Linked DNA regions of Caenorhabditis elegans. Each later gene encodes a partner of the first gene's protein in a complex. Each region holds a gene or a part of one and is shown in the gene's direction. Other genes may lie near its edges.

Region 1 (8,064 bases):
CTGTAGTCCGACGATTCGGAGCACCTGATGTCATAGAAGCCGTCGAGAGTGATATGCCCAGGCTTGAAAAAAACCAGGTTCTCGTTCGGAATTACGCTGCCGGTGTCAATCCAGTTGACACATATATTCGTGCTGGTCAGTATGGAAAACTACCAAATCTTCCATATGTACCAGGAAAAGATGGAGCCGGATTCGTCGAACTTGTGGGAGAAAGCGTTAAAAATGTGAAAGTCGGCGATCGAGTCTGGTATGGATCAGAAGCGGACAGTACAGCAGAGTATGTTGCGGTGAATCGACCATTCGAGTTGCCGGAAGGTAAAAGAATCATTGCGCAACGGGTTACTGTAGCTAGTTGCCCGCGTGGCGAGACCTAAGATATAGCTAAAATCTCATTTCAGGAGTTTCGTTTGAGGAAGGAGCTTCTCTCGGAGTGCCTTATCTTACCGCTTATCGTGCATTGTTTCATCTTGCTGGTGCAAAGGTTTGACTTTTATTTATTATTAAATGGTTCATAGAGAATATTAAAATTTTGGCAAAAACGTATCAAAATTAGGAGGCAAAATCAATACAAATCAATCTTTACAAAGCCAACTTGACCATCTGTTCCATCTCAAACAAGGGGCGGTCTAAAATACGACCATCTGCTGTTCCCTCCCAAAACTAATTCTCTTCTCAGACTGGCGACGTTATACTTGTACACGGAGCATCTGGTGGAGTGGGAAGTGCACTGATGCAGCTGGCTGCCTGGAGGAACATTGAAGCTGTTGGCACTGCTGGATCTGCTGATGGGATCCGGTTCGTGAAGAGTCTTGGTGCACGGAATGTCTATAATCATTCGGATAAGCAATATGTGTCGAAAATGAAAAATGATTATCCAGGAGGCTTCAACCACATTTTCGAAATGGCTGCTCACACAAATCTGAACACGGACCTCGGATTGCTGGCTCCACGTGGTAGAGTTGCAGTAATTGGAAATCGCGCCGAGACCACGATCAACGCAAGACAACTTATGGTTACAGAAGGAGCTGTTTACGGTGTAGCATTGGGAATGTCTTCCGAGGCTGAGCTCTTGGACTTTGGCATCAACATTGTCTCATTCTTGAAGGAAACCGAGTTTCGTCCACTTATAAACAAATTGTATCGTCTCGAGCAATTAGGACTGGCTCATGAGGAAATTATGAACAACAAGGGAGCGAAAGGAAATCTTGTAGTGCAAATCGAACATTAATTCATTATTTTAACACGCCATTTAAAGGAATGTAAATGAGAATAAACTGTACTTTTTATGAAGATATGAAAAAAATAAATTAATCTAGATTTCAGCTTCTTGAAACTGATTTTCAACAGAAATTTGGCAAATCAGTCCAAATGTCAGTTTACCTACAATAAAAGTCAAGATATTTAAATGTGTGAAATGTATTATATATGTAGTAGTTTTTTCGCAGAACTCTGGTAGAGTTCAAATCCGCAGAATATGCGTGAACGAAGAGACCACACACCAAGCGCGCTCTATTGTCACGCGTGAGAGAGAAGAGGCGCAGTAATATCTTTCTCAAACAATGCGTTTTTAATTTTTATCAACCTATTTTGTTTCAATTTATTATTTTAACATTTTTCTTTTGAAAATTATTACATTTTCAGGCAACAAAATGACGGATAAACCTGGTTCCGCAGAAGATACAATTGAAATGGATGACACGTGCTCTCCGCAATTTGTTCAGGAAGTCAATCGAATAAAGAGTCAAATTAAAAGTCTCGTTGTGAGTTTTTTAAATCAAAAATAACGCTTAAAAAATTAAACATAACTCATAAAAATATATTCTAGGAAGAAAACCACACAAGAAAATTTTTTCGACCTCTTACGTCGAATATTGGCGACGAGACGGCGATTTTACGGATTCAATTCAATAATATGATGAGTAAAATGGAAGAAAAAGAAAAACAATCTTTAGTGAAAGAGCTAATAAAAATGGTTCATCACGTGGCGGAAAAGAACTCTCCTGATCGAGTTTTTGTTGGGTGAGAATTTAAAAATTCGAAAAAAAAACAATTTTAACAGTTCTTTTGCATATAATCAGAGGTTTTAACAGTGTTTTATTCCAGAACAAACTACGAACGTGTCGTAGATCAGCTTCTCCGATATGCTCATCAAAAAGGTGCGATTTCAACGAATCTGTGCGCAGAAGGACTCATAATGACTTCGGACTTCCGATTATGCAGTAGAATATGCCAAGAAAAATGGAAATTCATCAATGATTGCATTCCAAAAATCGATTACAAAGGAATTCGGAATATCCTCCGATATATTCTGGAATCACAGCTCCGTCGCCTACCGTATTCACTATCTCCGGAGCAAGTAAACGAAATCCGCATTGTTGAGAATGTAATACTGCATATTGTGGATAGAGACTCCAATTTGATGCCTCCACTCATCACATTATCAGAAATTATGAGAGGAATGCCGAAACAGGCGCTTATGCTGCCGGTGAGGGGAAAATTTTAAAAAAAATTGCTGAAAATATAAAGACAATGTAAAAATTTAGATTTGTTAATTTTTTTTTTCGGCAAAAAAAACACAAAAAAAAGATCTCTCTACATTCAAAAAGTCGAATTTTTTTTTGGCGGAAACCAAAAAAAAGTTCGACCATTCTCGCAAAGTTTCTAATTTCTGTGCATTTAGTTTTTGAGTTACAGAAAGTAAACCAAATTGAATACTACAGAAGTTTTAAAAAACTTAATTTAAGCCATAAAAAAATGACGGGAAATTTCTTCTGATTTCTAAATTTTCAGTTTCTCAACATTTTATTTGAAGTTTTTACCAAGGGTGGGCGGCAATTACCGTTCGGCAAATCGGGCAATTTGCTGGTTTACCGATTTGCCGTTTACCGGATGTTAAATTTTCCGCAAATGTTTTGAGGGATTTTTTCATAAGACTGAAACACTTAAAACTGTGACTTTTTGGGCTGTTTTTCCCTTTTCCTCAGATATTTTTATAGAATTTGCTTACTTTTCAAAAAAGATGTAGAAAAAAACATTCAAACACTCACAGGATGCGTACAATTCTGAAATTCCCAAAAAATTAGTGCGAAACCACAATTTGCCAAAAATTTTCGACAATTGGTATTTTTCCGGTAAATTCGGAAATTTGCCGGTTTCACGATTTGCCGGAAATTTCAATTCCGGCACTTTGCCGATTTGCCGAAAAAATCGTTTGCCACACACCCCTGATTTGTATGCTGATTGACTGAAAAATCACCTTCATCGACGAAAAATTATCTGAATGTACAAAACCACAATTTGCCGAAAAATTTCGGCAATTTGCTGATTTTCCGGCAATCTGCTGATTTGCCGGAAATTTCAATTCCGGCAATTGTGGATTTTTTTTGCAAAAAGCGGCTCGAGATGAGTCACGGATCGACCCATCTCGATTCATTTACCAAGCCTATATTTCTTAAGATTAAATTAAAATGCCAAATATTACAGAGACTAACGGAGAAACTGGCAAGCTTATCCGTCCATTTCCGACCAATTGCCGACCTATCCCACGTGTGTGGCCGTGGATTCGTTTACCCCATTCCACTACATCCATCATTCTATCCATTAACATCGTGTTGGGAAGAACATGGATTAAATGCCAGTAATACAATTGTTCAACCTCATCATACACTTCCATATCGTCCTGAACATACTTCTACATACTTGTACACCCTCTACATGATTCTTCGTCAGCCATTGGGAAAGGACTCGGTATGAAATTGAGAATATATATATTTTAAATAACTTATCCCGAATTAAGTTTCAGCTTCATCCTCCGAGCAAAACGAAGACAAAGACAAATTGGGAAATGTTGATATCTGTAATGATATGTGAATCAATGGCCGAAGCAGAATCTCTACCGGAAACTGAGCCAATTCCACGATATCAATGGGACAATATTGTTAATATTGTTATTTATGGGATTACACAACATTTATTGTTAGTGTATTTCAAATTTTTCGATTTTGCGAAACCCGAAAAACAAAAATATTCCTTTTTTCAATTATTTTTCGCAAATTCAGAAAAAAAATCCAATTTTTTACTTTTAAAGTAAAATTCTAAAAAATCCGAACATTTCGATTTCCGACATTCAGGAAAGCTAAATTTTTGGGTTTTTCAAAGAGAAAATCGAAAAAAAAAAGATTCTATTTGAAAAACACAAGTTTTGAATTTCAAAATTGTCTTGAAAAGCCAGAAATTTGAAAGTAGAGCTAATAATTTAATTTAAAAACTAAGCGTTTCAATTTTTGGTTTATTTCTGAAGGAAAAAAAAATCCAAAATCAAAATTCTTAGGATAAAAGCTATAATTTAAACAAAATCTTTTGAAAATTCTTCAAAAATCTGAATGTTCTTGACTTTTAGACCTTCAAAAAAAAATCGAAAAACCAAAATATTTCTTTTTTTCAATTATTCTTAGAAAATTCCAGAAAAATCCAATTTTTCACTTCTTAAATAAAATTTCGAAAAAAAATACCGAAACTTAAGATTTTCTTGAAATGTTTTTAAAAAAAAATTTACCAAAAAACAAAACTTTAGATTTCCGACATTTAGAAAAATTGAAAACCAAAATCTTTAATTTTTCTTGTAACTTTTTCTTTTAAAAAATCCAAAAAGAGAAGTTTTGGATAATAGATATTCTCGAAAATCTGGAAAAATTATTTTTTAAGTCTAAAATCTATCGAAATTTTGAGTTTTTGTTCCCTAAAAGCTAATGTTTTCGATATTGAGACCTTAGAAAAAACCGAAAAATAGCATTTTCAGAGTCCCAAAAACATTCTTCAATGTTCTCAAAAATTTGATAAAACGATGCAAGTACACACGGGCTCGCGACGAAGTTATGTGGATCGTTTTTCAAGTTGTCGGCTCTCTGTCTAATTTAACACGACTCGATGATGCGGTGACTGAAATTGTTGAGCTGTACAATGAGCTGTTTGATGGAGATGTTGTTTGGATGGGTGCATCGGATCATCCCGCGTTGTTTGCAAGGTTTCTTGCTGCAGCTGGTACTTGGATGATTTTGGAGAAAGATGTCAGTAGTAGTCTTTTTTGTTGGAAAATTCTAAAAAAGAGAGTCTGCAATCCAGAAAAACTACAAAAAATTGATGCAGCTTTTCAAATTTTTCAATACATTTTTTCACAACTTTTGAGGTCGGTAAAATGGCTCCAAATATGAATTTTTGCAGTTTTTAAAAATGATGTTATGTTCAGGGGCCGGCAAAAATCTAGCATTTTTTTTTGAAAATTTAGAAAATTTTTTTAAAAAAAGATTCTGAATGTTTGCCGGCCCCTGAACATCCTAAAAATCTGCAAAAATTTACATTTGGAGCCATTTTACGGATCCCAAAAGTTGTGAAAAATTGCACTGAAAATTTTTCATAGCGACTTGAAATACTTTCCTTTTAAATTAAAAATTATGGCTTTCAAACATTTTTTTTTCTTTTTTTTTGTCTTGTATTTCTAAATTTTAGACTGTTTTAGGGATTTTACAGTTTTTTTTTTGAATTCTGAAACTTTCAGTTCGCCGACAAAATGCCACCGGCCAATGAGACAATTAAATCGCATATCAAGTTTATTCAAGACGGTGTTGATAATTTCGATTCAAGCAACACTGCAATGTTGGCGGTTCTGTCGAATATTTGTAGGTTGTTTTATTATTCAAGCATTGCAAAAATCGCAAATTCAACAAAAAACCATAAAAAGTTCCTTCCAATTTTTTCTGAAAAAATCTATAAAAAAGAGGAATTTTCCTTTTTTTCTCCATTGTTTCAGGTAAAAAATCGGAACAAATTTCATTTTAAAATTCTCTCCAATAAACACCGAAAAATCGAGAATGGTCGGTTTTCAAACTGAAAAACACCGAAAAATGTTTTTAAAAAGTTGCTTCTTCAAATCTTTTCCGAAAGAATAATAAAATATATACTAGAAAAAAAATATTTACTAGAAAAAATAATCAAATCTAACCCGCAAAAAAGTTCTAGATCGAACGGATACAAAAATGGGAAAACTGATCGTTCCAACACTTCAACAAATGCTCGAATCAATTGATGACACTAAATCGCTATTTGAACTATCCTACAAAAGAATGGCTGTCAACTGTTTCTCAGCATTTCCAGTAGAATTCATGGAAGCATTGACGTTCCGATCGAAGAAAACTCTGTTAATTCAATGTTTCCAACCACTTCGTTCATTTTCAACAGTTCGTCTTCCAAGCCCTGCGGTATTTGAAACTGTAGCGAAGATTTGTGAATCAGAAGATTATGAGATGGCTGTAAAGGATATGGAACATTTAGCACAAAGATCTCTTCACGTGGCAACTGCTGCAGATAGATCATCTGGTGAACATCAGGTTAGATTTTGAAAAAAAGTCTTATAGTATGTATAATTGAAAAAAATTAGCATTGTCGAAGAATTTATTCCTGACAGTAAAATTTAATGCAAATTTCGATATACATATGAAATGCATATACGAAAATCATACTTTGCTTTTATTTATAAATTTTATAAATTTTTTGAACACTTTAAATTTTAATTTGGTCAAAAAATTCCAGGCATATGAATAAAAATAATAATATTCTCAGAACGTCCAAGCAAAAGATCAATGTTACTTCCTATTCGATTTTCTCGTCTACCGACTTCCCCACCTACATGCCTATTCAAAATATTCATCAACAGTGAATGCACTATCATACTTCACTCAACACATTCCGAATAATCCACAAAACCATCAAATCTACCGTCTCATGGAGCAATTTCTAATGCGAAGATGGTGCTGGGCAGGATTTCACGGATGTATTACGGCACACACTCAGATGTTCGGAACGAGTTATAAGGATAATACAATGATGAGACATATGGCCTATCCGAAGACGTTCTCTGTGCCCGATCAATATCCATTTGCGATTAATCCGGAGATTTTTAAAATGGCGATTTATAGTTTCTTGAGAGCTGTTAAGATTACGGCACAAGACATTGCTATCGAGAAGACTATGTTTCCAACTATTATTAATGGATTCGGATGGCCTGAAAAATCAACATCATACTTTCCAAAGTGGGCACTAGATGCAATTAAAGGTAATTTTATTGCTAATAGTAAATATCATCATTTTCTAAATTTGAACTGCAAAAACAAAATTTTTTTGTATTTTTTGCACCGATAAATCGAAAAAATTCAAAAAAAAGTTTCATTTTTAAGAGTAAATCAATAAAAATCGGAAAAATAAAAAATAAAAAATTTTATAGCTATTCCAAAAAATTGTAGATTTTGATTTAAAAAAATTAATTGGCGAGAATTATTTAAATCTGATTTTTTTTCCAACAAAAAATTTTGCAATTTTCCTTTTATTTGAAAAATATATCACCATAGCAATATAAAATGTTTTTAAATTTATAGACATCAAATTACTTGGGGTTTTCTGACAAATCGACAACTTTTTTATAGAAATAACTACACATCCTGAAACCTAGTAATAATACCTATTTGCAGCCTCGGACACCTCGAACGCAGTGAACACTGAGGAAATTCTATCAGATGTCCGTAACACGGCACGAATGCACACATCATTAACACCAAATCAATTTGTGATCAGATATGGCGAGGATAGAGATCCGGCGACATCTCATTGTATGCTGGCTGTTTTATTTCATTTTGCATATAATTCGGTTGATTCTACGTATAATATCACTTCAGAGTTTTATGAGTGAGTTTTAAACACAGGTTCTTGGAGGTTAAATTGAAAAATTTTCAGAGTAATGGAAAAGAAGACACCAAAAGAAATTGTTGTAATGGGAAACTATCTGGTCGATTATATAATTGCTGATGCAAAAACTCAAGATTGCAACGAGAAGACTTTTAAGAATGTCCGAATTTTTGAATTATTTTAATCAGACTTAAAACAATAAGTTTTCAGATAGCAAAAGCCGCTGCCCTCTTGGTATTCCAGTTCCAAGTTCTGCGTGCTGACCGACTTCTACTCTCACTAATAATGCATCCAGCTACAGATGAGGATGCGTTGATATGTATTCAAATC
Region 2 (5,192 bases), 8.3 Mb from region 1:
ACGGATTCTTCTCAACAATTTCTCCTGGAAATGTCATTGTGCTCATCGCAGCAAGTTCCTTTTGCTCGGGTTCGAGAGCTGAACGATCAACGGGTGTTGGTTCAGTGCTCCGGAGAATTGATTTGGTTTCAATAACTGAATCTTCTTCCTTGATTTCGACAGTGTCTGTTTGATGGAATGTTTTCACATTTTCAAGCTGTTGCGCAAATCGAACTCCCGATTTTTTCCGTTTGACGGTGGTTTTTGTTACGGTTTCCTAAAAATTGTGTGTTAAAATAATAGTGAATTGTTTCTATTTAGTATTTGAAATTACCTCAACAATTTCTTCGACCTTAATCACTTGGGTCTCTATCTTTTTGGATTTCAGTTGTTGGTCAGAATTATTGCTTTTCTCGATATTATCATCAGATGCATAATCATCAGAGTCGAGTTCTTCTACACTATTGTTAAGATTCTCTTCATCATCGTCTCCTTCCTCTTCATCTTCATCATACTCCTCATCGGAACTCTCTTCATCACAAGTGTCTAAGAAATCTAACAGCCGTTCCATTTCCTTCTGTGTTACTCCAGGTTGTGCCAGCAAACGTTCATTCATTCCAAATCTTAGTTTTTTATCAGTTGGATCTTGTTCAACTTCCTCAACTTCCTCTAATTTACCCAAATCCTGTAAATCTTCGTTTGAAACTTCAAAAGGTTTCGGAATTGGAGCTTCTTCCATCTCATCATTGTCTTGTTCCAGTTTCTCTAGTTCTTCCAAACGGTTCATCACATCGTTGTGATCTTGGTCACCATTCAATTTGTTCTTTTCTATTATCTTCTCGTTCTGTTCATCATTTTGAGACATCTTTTTGTTTTTGCGATTTTGATAAAACAGTTTTTCCATCTCTTCATCGTATTTCTCGACAATTTCGATAGGTCCTCCATCAATCGAAACAGATGAGAAATTATCTTGAGCAAACTTTATTTTGTCATCCAACATTCGAATTGAATCGAGACCTTCCTCACGCTGCCTTCTCATTTCAGAAACTCTCCGATCCAAGATCTTTTCAGCTGTATGAATGCTGCATTCTCCGTAATAGTTTGCACCCATTTCCATCGTAACTTGATTCGTGCGAACTACATGGGCACCGCAGAAATAACCGACTTCGCAAATTTTCGCCTAAAAATTAGAATAAGATTATATGAGAGAGAATGTAATTTACCAAAATAGGAGCTTCCAACTTTTTCGAATATTCCTTTGCTCGTTCCAGAACTTTTTCATAGTTATCAGCAATGATTCTTCGACATTCGGTCTCAACTTCGAGCCGAGCTTTAGCCTGAAAAATTAAATTCATACAGACTTAATTATTTTTATACTATTTTAGGGAAACAAACTCGGAATTTAAAAACGAATTATTTTTGTCTTGTCGTTCATAATCATGTAAAAGGATTTTTAATTTACCGCATTGCATTCTGCAACGTAGAGTTCGCTCATTTTTTCAGATAGGTCTTCTTCACTCGTCACAGTCATTTTCTGCAAATCTTAGAGAGGTAATTCGGAGCGGAAAATGGGAAAAAATGTTAAAAAGTAACAATTTCCGAAAGCGCAATTTAAAAAAGTACAAAAAAGTACAAACTTTTATGGAGACACTACTGATTTCTGGAATCTGTTAAATCTTAGAAATGAACTCTTTCAGAATTTCAAACTTCTTTTTTTATATGCGTAAAACTTATCGCATATATTTTATGCAATATTGAAAGTAAGTAGAGTTTTAACCATTAAAGTAACTGAAACCAGAGTTTTATCGTAAAAATGGTAAAATATTCGGGAGTGTTGGTTTCCCTGGAAATGAGTCACGTAGAGTGTGAGTCCGCAAACACCAGCTGTGAATTGCGTAGAATACATTTAATATCACGCTCAAATAGTTTTGAATTAATTTAATTTTTTAAAAACATTTTTTATTCTGTTTATTTAGTTGATTCATTCAAAATATGGACAATTTAGTGGATATTGATGAAGATGGAACACAAGAAAAGGTATTTCGATTGTTAAAATCCATCTAAAACATTTTAATTCAGCTTTCTGTGAATTCAACTCCCTATCAAACACAAGAATGCGTTCTTTATGGATCTATTTTCGCAAAAAATGTCCCAGTTAGTTTTTAAAGTAATTGGACTAAATTCTAATACAAAAGTTTCAACTTTAGGACTTGGAACGACGTTTAGCCGGCCTTTGTGATCCGGGATGTGAGGAATTCTTCGAGCATGAGATGTCATTCAGCCTACGATCTTCGGGTATAATGGATATCAAAACCGATATTAAGTAAGCTTTTTTGTTTATCTATTTAAATATTTGCATGTATTTGATTTTTGAAGATTGCGAAGAAGATTCCGAACAGAACATCGAATTCAAAATTATTGGCAATTAAAGTACATTGGAGGTCGGTTTTAACCTTATAATTCGTATTTTATAATTTTTTGTTTTATTTCAGTTCCGGAACCAGATCAAAAATGCCCAACTATTGTTCGAAAAGAAATCAGTTCACTTGTCCATTCTCAGGATATGATGACGTATGCGAAATCCTTGGGTCTCCGCATGGACTATGAATATATGACACAAGGAAAATTGTGGACAAAAGGAAATATAAAGATTCTGCACTCAATATTGACTAGTACTTCTCGCGCAGGAACATATGATTCAAATTCAATCAAATCTGTTTCTGATTCTGCGTTAGTGGAAATCAGTATCTCATTGCCCGAGTCTGCAGAATACATGCCGGTAGGTTTTTTAGTAATAATTTCGAATTTATTTTTTCAACTCATTTTAGGCTGCCAAGTCTCTTCGTGATTTTGCCGATCAGCTGATGCCACTTGTTAATATGGAAAAAGTCGATTACTGGAAGAAAATGTTCCCAGCTCAAGCAGCTCCTCGTCGTTAATCTTCATTAATTGATTGATCTCACTTTGATACGTTATTTAATTTATAAAATTCACGAAGTATTCAATAATGTTAATATCCCACAAAGCTTCAATGGTTTATACCTTTTATTTTCTGATATCAACATTAAACATTTTTTTACTCCAATGAAAATTTAGAATGTCATCGAAAAATCCAGTAGATGAGCAACCTTGCTGTGGCTCCCATGAAGGTTCGCATCAAGATCCTGCTCCGGAGACGTTAGTAGTTGAAAAAGAAGTTAACAATGGGGAAAAGAAAATACGAATTGCTGTTGTCGGATGCTCTCACGGAGAAATGGATGCTATTTATGAGGTAAAATTTAAAAAAAAATCATATTTTTCGAACAAAATTAATGGCATATTTCAGATCTATTTTCTCTATTAGATTGTTTTAATTGCTATTTAAAATTACAACTATTTAAAAAAAATATTTCAGACAATGACACTAATCGAACAGAAAAATGGCTACAAATTCGATTTGCTGATCTGTTGTGGCGATTATCAAGCTGTCCGAAACTACGGCGACCTTCCACATATGAGTATTCCACCAAAGTACAGAAGTCTTCAAACATTCTATAAATACTATTCTGGAGAACAAAAAGCACCAGTTCTAACTCTATTCATCGGCGGAAACCATGAAGCATCTGGTTATCTATGTGAATTGCCTAATGGAGGATGGGTGGCGCCGAATATTTATTACATGGGATTCGCAAATTGCATTCGATTTGCTAACCTTCGTATCGCAGGACTCTCTGGAATTTTCTCGCAAGGAGATTTTCAATTTTCGCATTACGAACGCCCTTCGTTTTCGGAAAGAGATGTTAAAAGCGCATATCACGTTCGAAACGTTGATATGTTCCGGTTAAGACAATTGAAATCTGATAATGAAAATAAGATATCGGTATAAGCTTGAAAATTACTTTTTTATGAACATTTTCCTATTTTAGAACCCAATTGACATAATGCTCTCACACGATTGGCCTGGAGGTATTCCTGATTTTGGTGATAAGGAATGGCTTTTCCGGAAAAAGGATTTATTTGAAGCAGATCACAATAGTGGCAAACTGGGGAATCCTTCTGGAATGAAACTGATTTATGTATGTTTTTTGGTGATATTTGCAAAATTACTGTATGTATGTATTTTAGGATTGCCGGCCCAGATACTATCTTGCTGCACATCTTCATATTGCTTTTGCGGCCCTTGTTCCTCATAAAGGTTCAGGATCAGGCCGTCCACAGCCTACACGATTCTTATCACTGGATAAACCGATTCCTGGGAGAAAGTTTATGCAGGCAAGTCGTCACGTTCACTTTTTAAACTTCAACATTCAATATTATACAATCGAATAAATTTTTTCATTTTTCAGGCTCTCGAGTTGAATGTTGCAGACGATGCTAAACTGGAACTGTCATATGATCCACAATGGTTGGCTATTCTGAGAAATACAGATTTATTAACAACTGGAACAAAAGAACAGCTGATACTTCCCGATATGGCATCAAATCGTCCATGTGTCTACGAAAGAAAAGATTTTCGACCAACAGCAGAGGAGTTAAAAGAAATCGAAAAACTCGGAGATTTAACAATCAGAACTGACAGTTTCCAACAAACTGCGCCTCCGTTAAAAGAGGTAAGTGTCATCTCAGAATTTCGTGGATCTCTTAAGGATAGTAATTAAAACAACTGTTTACAGATTACGGAATCATCCAAAAATGTGCCACCAAGCGCCTACTACCGTAATCCACAATCTGCCGAGTTTTGTCAGTGGCTTGGTATTCGGGATCTTAATCAGATGCTCGTTGAAAAAACATCTGAACACGTTGGAACTCCGTACTACATGATGACTCAAGACGATGCGAACGCTAAACCAAATCAAGATGACGTGGATTTTGGTGACGAAGATTTTGTAATCGACAGAGGGCACACCTCCGATGAGCCAGAAGCGAAAAAAAGTAGATTGGACGAAGATAAGTTTGAAGCAGTACCATCCGAATGATGTTGAATACTTTACAACGTAGTTTCTAATTGAAGACCACATTGCCAAATATTTATTTTTTTGACATCAAGATATTGCCGTTTGTTGTTGTATACTCTATGTTAACATCTCAAAAAAACTTTAAATTGCCAAAAAAATAAAGCACCTCTCATGTTCACGTTTTCTCACAAACAAATATAGACTATGAAAATGCAGGGAGACTCCCAAATAAAAAAAAGCGGAAGAAGCAAGTCGATGCATTTACAATGGATGCTCTTT
Region 3 (6,490 bases), on another chromosome or scaffold:
ATCAACGAGAACCGATAACTAACCTTTCTCCAGCTGCACAAATGCTCTTTTTCGAATCTTCTCGAGCCAGTCATTTGTTCTCTGCATAATTGAATTTCCACCTCTTTCATGATATTTTTGTTCATTGTATTGTTGACTACTTTTTCAACTTTATTTCTTTATCGTCTTAAATTTTTAAAGAACCAGTGTTCCATTTTTTCATTTCCTCATATTTTTCTTCTACTTCTCAATTGTCTTCAAGCAATTCCTGATCATTTTTATTTTGTTTCGTGTTTTTGATTATAAATTATTTATATACAAACACACAATTTTCAAACAATTGTGATGCGTGATAACATCGCTGAATTGTATTTTTGAAATTATAAAAGAAACGCGGAATACAAGACCTAATTACTAGAATTTACTGAATTTAAATAAACACTTTTTAGTGATTTATTTCGTTTTGAAAATTTTCCGCGATCCTGATTTGAAGAATTATAACAATTTCAATCAATTCTAATTTTTATTTTCAATATTTTGTTCAAAGTTCAAAACGATATTGTGGAGTTGTAAAAAAAATTAAAATATATATTCAAATATGCATTACATTGAAACATCAATCGGGGGATTTGCCCTATGACATTCTGAAATGAAGAAACTTAGAGTTTTTTTCTTCCGTTTTCATATAATTTTATCTGACATATGACATTTTCTCTCATCATTTGTCCTTTCTCATAAATTTAAATTTGCGAGAATGTGATTCTAACTGCAGACAATACCCAGATGTTGGAATTTTTTGCGCGTAAGGTCGTTTTTAGCTTAGTTTCAAAAAAACTTCGCTGGTTTTTTGTATAATATCAGTAAACTGCCTGAACATCCGAAACCATATTCTGAAACAACGCGCATTAAAGTTATTAAAATTGCACATATTCAAATAACAAATATTATCAGTTCATGCTGATCTGTAGGTGATATGCATACTACTTGATTTCCTTTTTTTTTTTTGGGTTCACCATCTTGGAATATTAGCTCATTCACAACTCCCAAAAAAGTCTACTTTCTTATCGTTCTGAAAGTTGAAGTTTTAACGTATTTACCATTTCTTACAACAATACAATTTTCCCTGCAATTAAACAAACGACTTATGAGTGGACCATTTTGAGAAAATAGCGAGACAGTTCCGATCGATGGGTCTGTGTGCCTTGCTGTGCAGCACTCTCCATCTCTGCGTCTCTCTCTTCCATCAGTGTATTTCTTGCTGTGTTCTGTGTTCTCAGGGGCCAATTCTCTATTTCTTTCCAACTGCCTGCTACTCGCCGTTTGTGCGTTTCTTCCTCGCTTCTCTGCGTCTTTTTTACAGCCATCTTTGAATGTCATCATCCGTACTGGGGTTGATGTGTTTCTTTACAATCGATGAAAGGTGCTTTATGAATACATCTCTGTCCACATGTTGAGTTTAATTTTTCACTTTTTTTAAAAGCTCACATTGTGTTTTTTTAACTAATTGGGAACCCACAAAATTTTGAATATTGGATTTTGAACACAATTTTAGAGTTGGAAAAGTGAACTAGACATGAATGATGATATTCCAAAAAAAAAACTTTTTAATACTTATTTTTTTCACAATATTTTCTAAATAAATAGAACCCACTTTCCTTTAAATTCTTATTCGTTCCTCCTTTCATTTTTCTGTCAGTTTTTATGTTGTTATCACTTAAAAACGTCGCCTGATTGTATTTTTTCTTTTTCTTAACATATTATCTTCAAAATTTGGGAAGTTATTGCAAATAAAAAAATTTTAGCAATCATTTCGTACCCATCGACGTCAGTGGTAGACGACGAGGACGACGTCTACCCCGAGGATGGCGTCGCCTCGTGGTTTGACGAGCAGCCCGGCGAACGTATGCTCCGGAAAACCAACCTTCGAATGGGAACTGCTGATGTGTATAAACAAAACAAGAATCAAGAAGAGGATATGTTGACAACGGAACGATTAAAGAAAGGATATCAGGTGAGTGTCGTGCCAGGGCGAGGAAAAAGATGCTCAAACAGAGTGCAATGTAACTATGGAGGTACTAGGGGATGATTAGCTTGGTGTGTGGCTAGATGTTTGATGAGCGTAAAAAGAAACAGAGAAAGCACACGTGAGGATATGAATTATACAACCCGAGTTTTGATTTTAGATGCCATTAACGCAATACGAGCTTCAATCATTGGTTTTCAACGCATCGGAAAATAAGCTAATTCGTCTGGAGAAAGCTCAAAAACGATCTCAGTCTATGATTGCTTCTGTGAGTCATTTTCAACAATTATATAAGTGAGTAAATATGTTAATTTCAGGTTATTCACAAAAAAGGAGAGTTCCACATGAATTATGACAGAGAACGTAAAATTCCAAAGGAACAACTTCCGTGTTTTGCACCACATAACTGGAAACGAATTTTGTCAGATCGAGTGAAATTCTTTTCGGCATTAGCTAGAGGAACTCCTCTTCAACAACTTTCACAAAGAATCCCTGGATTTAGAAGGAAAGAACTGCTCTTTTTGGAGTTTAGCGATTATAAGTGAGTTGTTTTTAAAATTCACAATTAAAACAAATGTGAATTATACTGTGCTAACTGAAGAATGTTCTAAAGTTGCCTATTTCAGCATAAGCTACGATCGGGCAATATGGTGTGTGAAACTTCTTTGTATCCTTGGTTTCAACTCTTCAAGCAAGACACAAAAGAAAACATTACTTGACGTTGCAACTCTAGAACTGAGCCAAGCATGCAACAAAACAACAATTTGGCTCGTAACCCAGCTTTACAAATCTTTTCGAAATCCCATAAAACGAAGAGAGGCTACTAAAACATGGAATTATTTGACTGGATTCATGAAGTATATGTTTGATGTAAGAGTTTTATTTTTAACAGAAATTTTATTAGTTTTGTTATAGGATGGTGTCCTTGATAAACAGGAGTTTCTCAACGATCTCACGGAAGTTTTCAATCAGTTGTTTTTGCAGAAAAACTTTAAGAACCCTTCAGTTTTAAGGTAAGCACTGCAAACTTTTCCAAATTAGATAACCCATGAACTGATATTGTATTAATAACATTTCAGCACATTCATGAAATATTATGTGTATTTTGTCGAAGATCTCAGCTCCAGTCTGGTGTTAGCTAGACGGTCCTCCACTCTGCTTTGCCAAGCACTTGGTTTTCTATTCGAAATGGCACAGGATAAAAGGAAAATTGATGCGTACTACGATTCTGCTAATAAAACTTTCATTAAGAAAGAGTAAGACTTAAATTTATGAGAGTTACAAAAAATCAAAAATTCAGATTTGAAAATGAAGATGGCGAAATTTACGAGTTTGAAGATTACGATGACTTCATTGATATGTTGGACGAGATTCCTGATGTACCCTACTTTGATGAGACTGACAAAACACCAGAAGCACAAGCTGAAGAACTTATCAAGCAGCATGAAAAACGAAAGGCAGGCTCACTCAAAAAGTCTGAAAGGAGGAGAAGAAGAGGATTGTCAAAAAATCGGCCAAAAAAAATGCCACAGAATCCTTCGAATGAAGCTTCTCTTGATCACGATAAAGTACAGATTAAACAAGAACCGATGGACTATGATGAGTATGGAGGTCAACAATCAGACAATTCTATGGATTATGACTCTTTCTCACATCAATATGATCCATCATATGAGCCTTTACCTTTCAAGCCACTTCACACAGATATTCCAAAAAAACTCACTGACGATGAGGAGTTCAAGTACATGAAGATAGGCAAGAGATCTGTCACTCCTGAACGTATTAGTGGTCGCTATGGTTCAATGACGTATCCTTTCTGGATTCAGCAGGGCGGAGTTGGAATTGATCCACCAAAAGATGAAGTACTGGATTTCTCCAATCCAACACCAACGGAAACTGTCAACACGCAGCCACAAATTGATTTTGAATCATCTCCCAGCGCTTCGCCAGCTCTTTCTGTCGATAAAGAAAATGAATGTGAAAAGAAAGAAGATGAATCTAAAACTAAGGAGAAGAACAAAGATAAGGAGAAAGACAAGGAAAAAGAAAAATCTGTTGATGAGCATACGAATGATCTGGATGTTCCGATAAATCCTGACGATGCTGAAATGGCTGATGCAAATGATAAAACCGATGCTTCTGAAAAACAAAAATTAGTTGAAGAAGAACCTACCGGCAAAGAAAATGAAGATGATACCAGTTCAAAAACGGCAAAGACGTCTACATCAGCAGAGAAATCCGAAGCTCCCTCCATTGTCGATTCTAATGACAAAATTGATAAGGAGCCAAATGCAAGTTCAACAAGTAACGATGAAACTTCTAAAGATGACACAGTTCCCATGGAATCAGATCCACCAGCTGCCACTGAAAAACCAAAAGAATCCACTGAAATTACCACCGAGGAACCACTGGAAGTCGACAAAGCGCCTGAAGTTGATAAGTCTGAGAAAGAACACGAAGATGATATTATGATCATTGAGTCCAACAAAAAAGCAGACGAGGATGACTGTGTTGTTATAGCTGTGGTGGATCCTGATCAGGAACAAACTCCGGAAAGTGAGAAGAAAAAAGATGGCGAAGAAGAAAGGGACAAAAACAAGGATACAGATGTGGCGGATAACGAACCCGAGAAAATTTATACCGACGAGGAACTCGCTGAAATCAAAATCCGCAAAGAGAAGGAAATGAAAATTGCAACTTTGGCTTCCCATATCAAAGAGAAAATGGTGTCAGACAAAAAATGGAAAGAGAAAACTAGCCACGCAGGATGGAGAACACTTGATCAATGCAGTCAGTTCAGTGAAGCGCTTCATTTGCTCTCAAGCATGGTGCAGTACATGGCATGTGTTACTCCAGAAAGCTTTGTTTGGAACGATCTTTCAGTAAGTTTTGAAAGCTTTTGCTGTAGCTATGTTCAGAGAACACAAATATGCTTTAAATTTTCAGGTTCAACAAGAAGAACGTCGACATAGAATCCTACCACAACTGTGCGGATCACCTTTGGATTATTTGCCATGTGAACTCCACAAACTACCAGTCATGGAAGGTTTGTTATATTTTATCAATTGCCAAAAACATGTGTATATTCAATTTTACAGGTGTAGAAGAAGTGGTGGATTGTCTTCGTTTACGCCATTGTGAAATCGTTCGAAGAAGTCAGGCTGCCGAAGACAGGTGGCTACCAAATGCTGCATTTCTGCAGAGCTTTGGTAGAATCATTGATACTTGTGTAGATGTGATTGGAATAATGGACAATATTGATGTTGAGAAACCAAACGCCATTACAAACGCTGGACTTCGACTTTTTGCATTCCGAGAAAAATTTGAAAAGCAGGAAGCTCTCTTGAAAACAATGCTCATGTTTAAATGGTGCATAACGGAGGAGCGTGAAGGATCATTCCGTGCGACTTACATCGCGAAACTTCTACGCTTTGGAATGGATCAAAATCCAGAGAACACCATTGGAGGTTGGCAGGTCATGGATCTTTTCTTCAAGTTTATGTCCACTGAAGGTCCCAAACACGGAAGCAAAATGTATCAAGCTCACTTTGATTCCACGGTTGCTATCATGATTGAGATGATGAGAGAAAAGATATTTTCCATTACTGATATTCTAAGAGAACTGGAAAAAGATTCGGATTTGGATTACAATGCTCCTTTGATGGAAAGACAACGAAAACAAAAAATCCCGAAAATTTCCAAGCGACATAGAAAACCAGAAACTCCAGATGACACCAAACTCGTACATTTCACCACAGAATACACACCGAAGAGATTGTTCATGGGAAAGAAAATGGATTTGTTGGAGCGTATGATCATTATTTTGCCACAATTAGATGTTGACGAGGATACTGACGAGTATCGATTGCGAAGACTGCTCCTGTTCGGATTGAAACCTGCTGCGAATGTATATTTCCGACGAGCTCGTGCTATTTACAAGAGCATTACGAAGGAATTCACAACTCGGTTATACATTGAATTTGATCGATCTTCCAAAGTCACCACCGCTCATAAAAAGATTAATCAGAACCGCCTAGACGATCTTTTGAGACAATTCCGAGCACAAACCTATCATGACCAACATCTGATTTTGGAACGTATTGTCTATAATTTCATCGACGGGATTGGTGGATTTTTGAAAAAGAACTGTGACGATGTTCCAGCTCCAGAAGTGGCCAATATTATTTGCGAAATGTACGAGTTCAGCATGGATATCACGTCAATTTTCGACTTCTTTGAAATGGTGAATCCGTATTTGAAGGCAGTTGACGACAAGATTGCTCATTTCCGAATGGATGTTCTTCCAGACATGTATTACACAGAAACGGCATTTATTTTTGTCTCATTTTTTATGAAACACTGGCAAAGATTCCTTTTGCATCCGCGAGCATGTGCAATTGTCAATCAGTGAGTTTCAATTTGATTTCAAATATTTAAAATTCATTAATACGTTTCAGGTGTTTTGTGCTAATCCAAGACATGATTCGA

The links. The genes of interacting proteins can lie anywhere in the genome.
Region 2: sur-2 (region 1) and mdt-18 share a complex: the UniProt entries of both Caenorhabditis elegans proteins name them as parts of the mediator complex.
Region 3: sur-2 (region 1) and dpy-22 share a complex: the UniProt entries of both Caenorhabditis elegans proteins name them as parts of the mediator complex.

Annotation. Positions count from the first base shown.
Region 1 is NC_003279.8:14,781,382-14,789,445, reverse strand, and holds the start of sur-2 (Mediator of RNA polymerase II transcription subunit 23), read left to right. Parts: upstream 1-1,642; 5' UTR 1,643-1,649; coding exon 1,650-1,760; intron 1,761-1,825; coding exon 1,826-2,019; intron 2,020-2,103; coding exon 2,104-2,485; intron 2,486-3,483; coding exon 3,484-3,747; intron 3,748-3,802; coding exon 3,803-3,975; intron 3,976-4,798; coding exon 4,799-5,066; intron 5,067-5,554; coding exon 5,555-5,675; intron 5,676-6,009; coding exon 6,010-6,383; intron 6,384-6,615; coding exon 6,616-7,108; intron 7,109-7,520; coding exon 7,521-7,734; intron 7,735-7,782; coding exon 7,783-7,894; intron 7,895-7,944; coding exon 7,945-8,064. Other genes in the region: F39B2.3 (15-oxoprostaglandin 13-reductase), read left to right, coding at 1-315, 399-481, 677-1,228. UniProt on the Caenorhabditis elegans protein: Component of the Mediator complex, a coactivator involved in regulated gene transcription of nearly all RNA polymerase II-dependent genes.
Region 2 is NC_003279.8:6,490,611-6,495,802, reverse strand, and holds mdt-18 (Mediator of RNA polymerase II transcription subunit 18), read left to right. Parts: upstream 1-1,955; 5' UTR 1,956-1,971; coding exon 1,972-2,016; exon of another isoform or gene 2,017-2,058; coding exon 2,059-2,133; intron 2,134-2,186; coding exon 2,187-2,302; intron 2,303-2,355; coding exon 2,356-2,420; intron 2,421-2,471; coding exon 2,472-2,758; intron 2,759-2,807; coding exon 2,808-2,918; 3' UTR 2,919-2,981; downstream 2,982-5,192. Other genes in the region: uri-1 (Unconventional prefoldin RPB5 interactor), read right to left, coding at 1-256, 314-1,159, 1,203-1,316, 1,442-1,474; dbr-1 (Lariat debranching enzyme), read left to right, coding at 3,077-3,250, 3,374-3,838, 3,885-4,034, 4,084-4,230, 4,305-4,568, 4,632-4,934. UniProt on the Caenorhabditis elegans protein: Component of the Mediator complex, a coactivator involved in the regulated transcription of nearly all RNA polymerase II-dependent genes.
Region 3 is NC_003284.9:9,817,563-9,824,052, reverse strand, and holds the start of dpy-22 (Mediator of RNA polymerase II transcription subunit 12), read left to right. Parts: upstream 1-1,779; 5' UTR 1,780-1,882; coding exon 1,883-1,990; intron 1,991-2,162; coding exon 2,163-2,270; intron 2,271-2,319; coding exon 2,320-2,543; intron 2,544-2,628; coding exon 2,629-2,872; intron 2,873-2,917; coding exon 2,918-3,015; intron 3,016-3,081; coding exon 3,082-3,258; intron 3,259-3,302; coding exon 3,303-4,884; intron 4,885-4,948; coding exon 4,949-5,048; intron 5,049-5,100; coding exon 5,101-6,409; intron 6,410-6,459; coding exon 6,460-6,490. Other genes in the region: GTPase-activating protein rrc-1, read left to right, coding at 1-89. UniProt on the Caenorhabditis elegans protein: Component of the Mediator complex, a coactivator involved in regulated gene transcription of nearly all RNA polymerase II-dependent genes.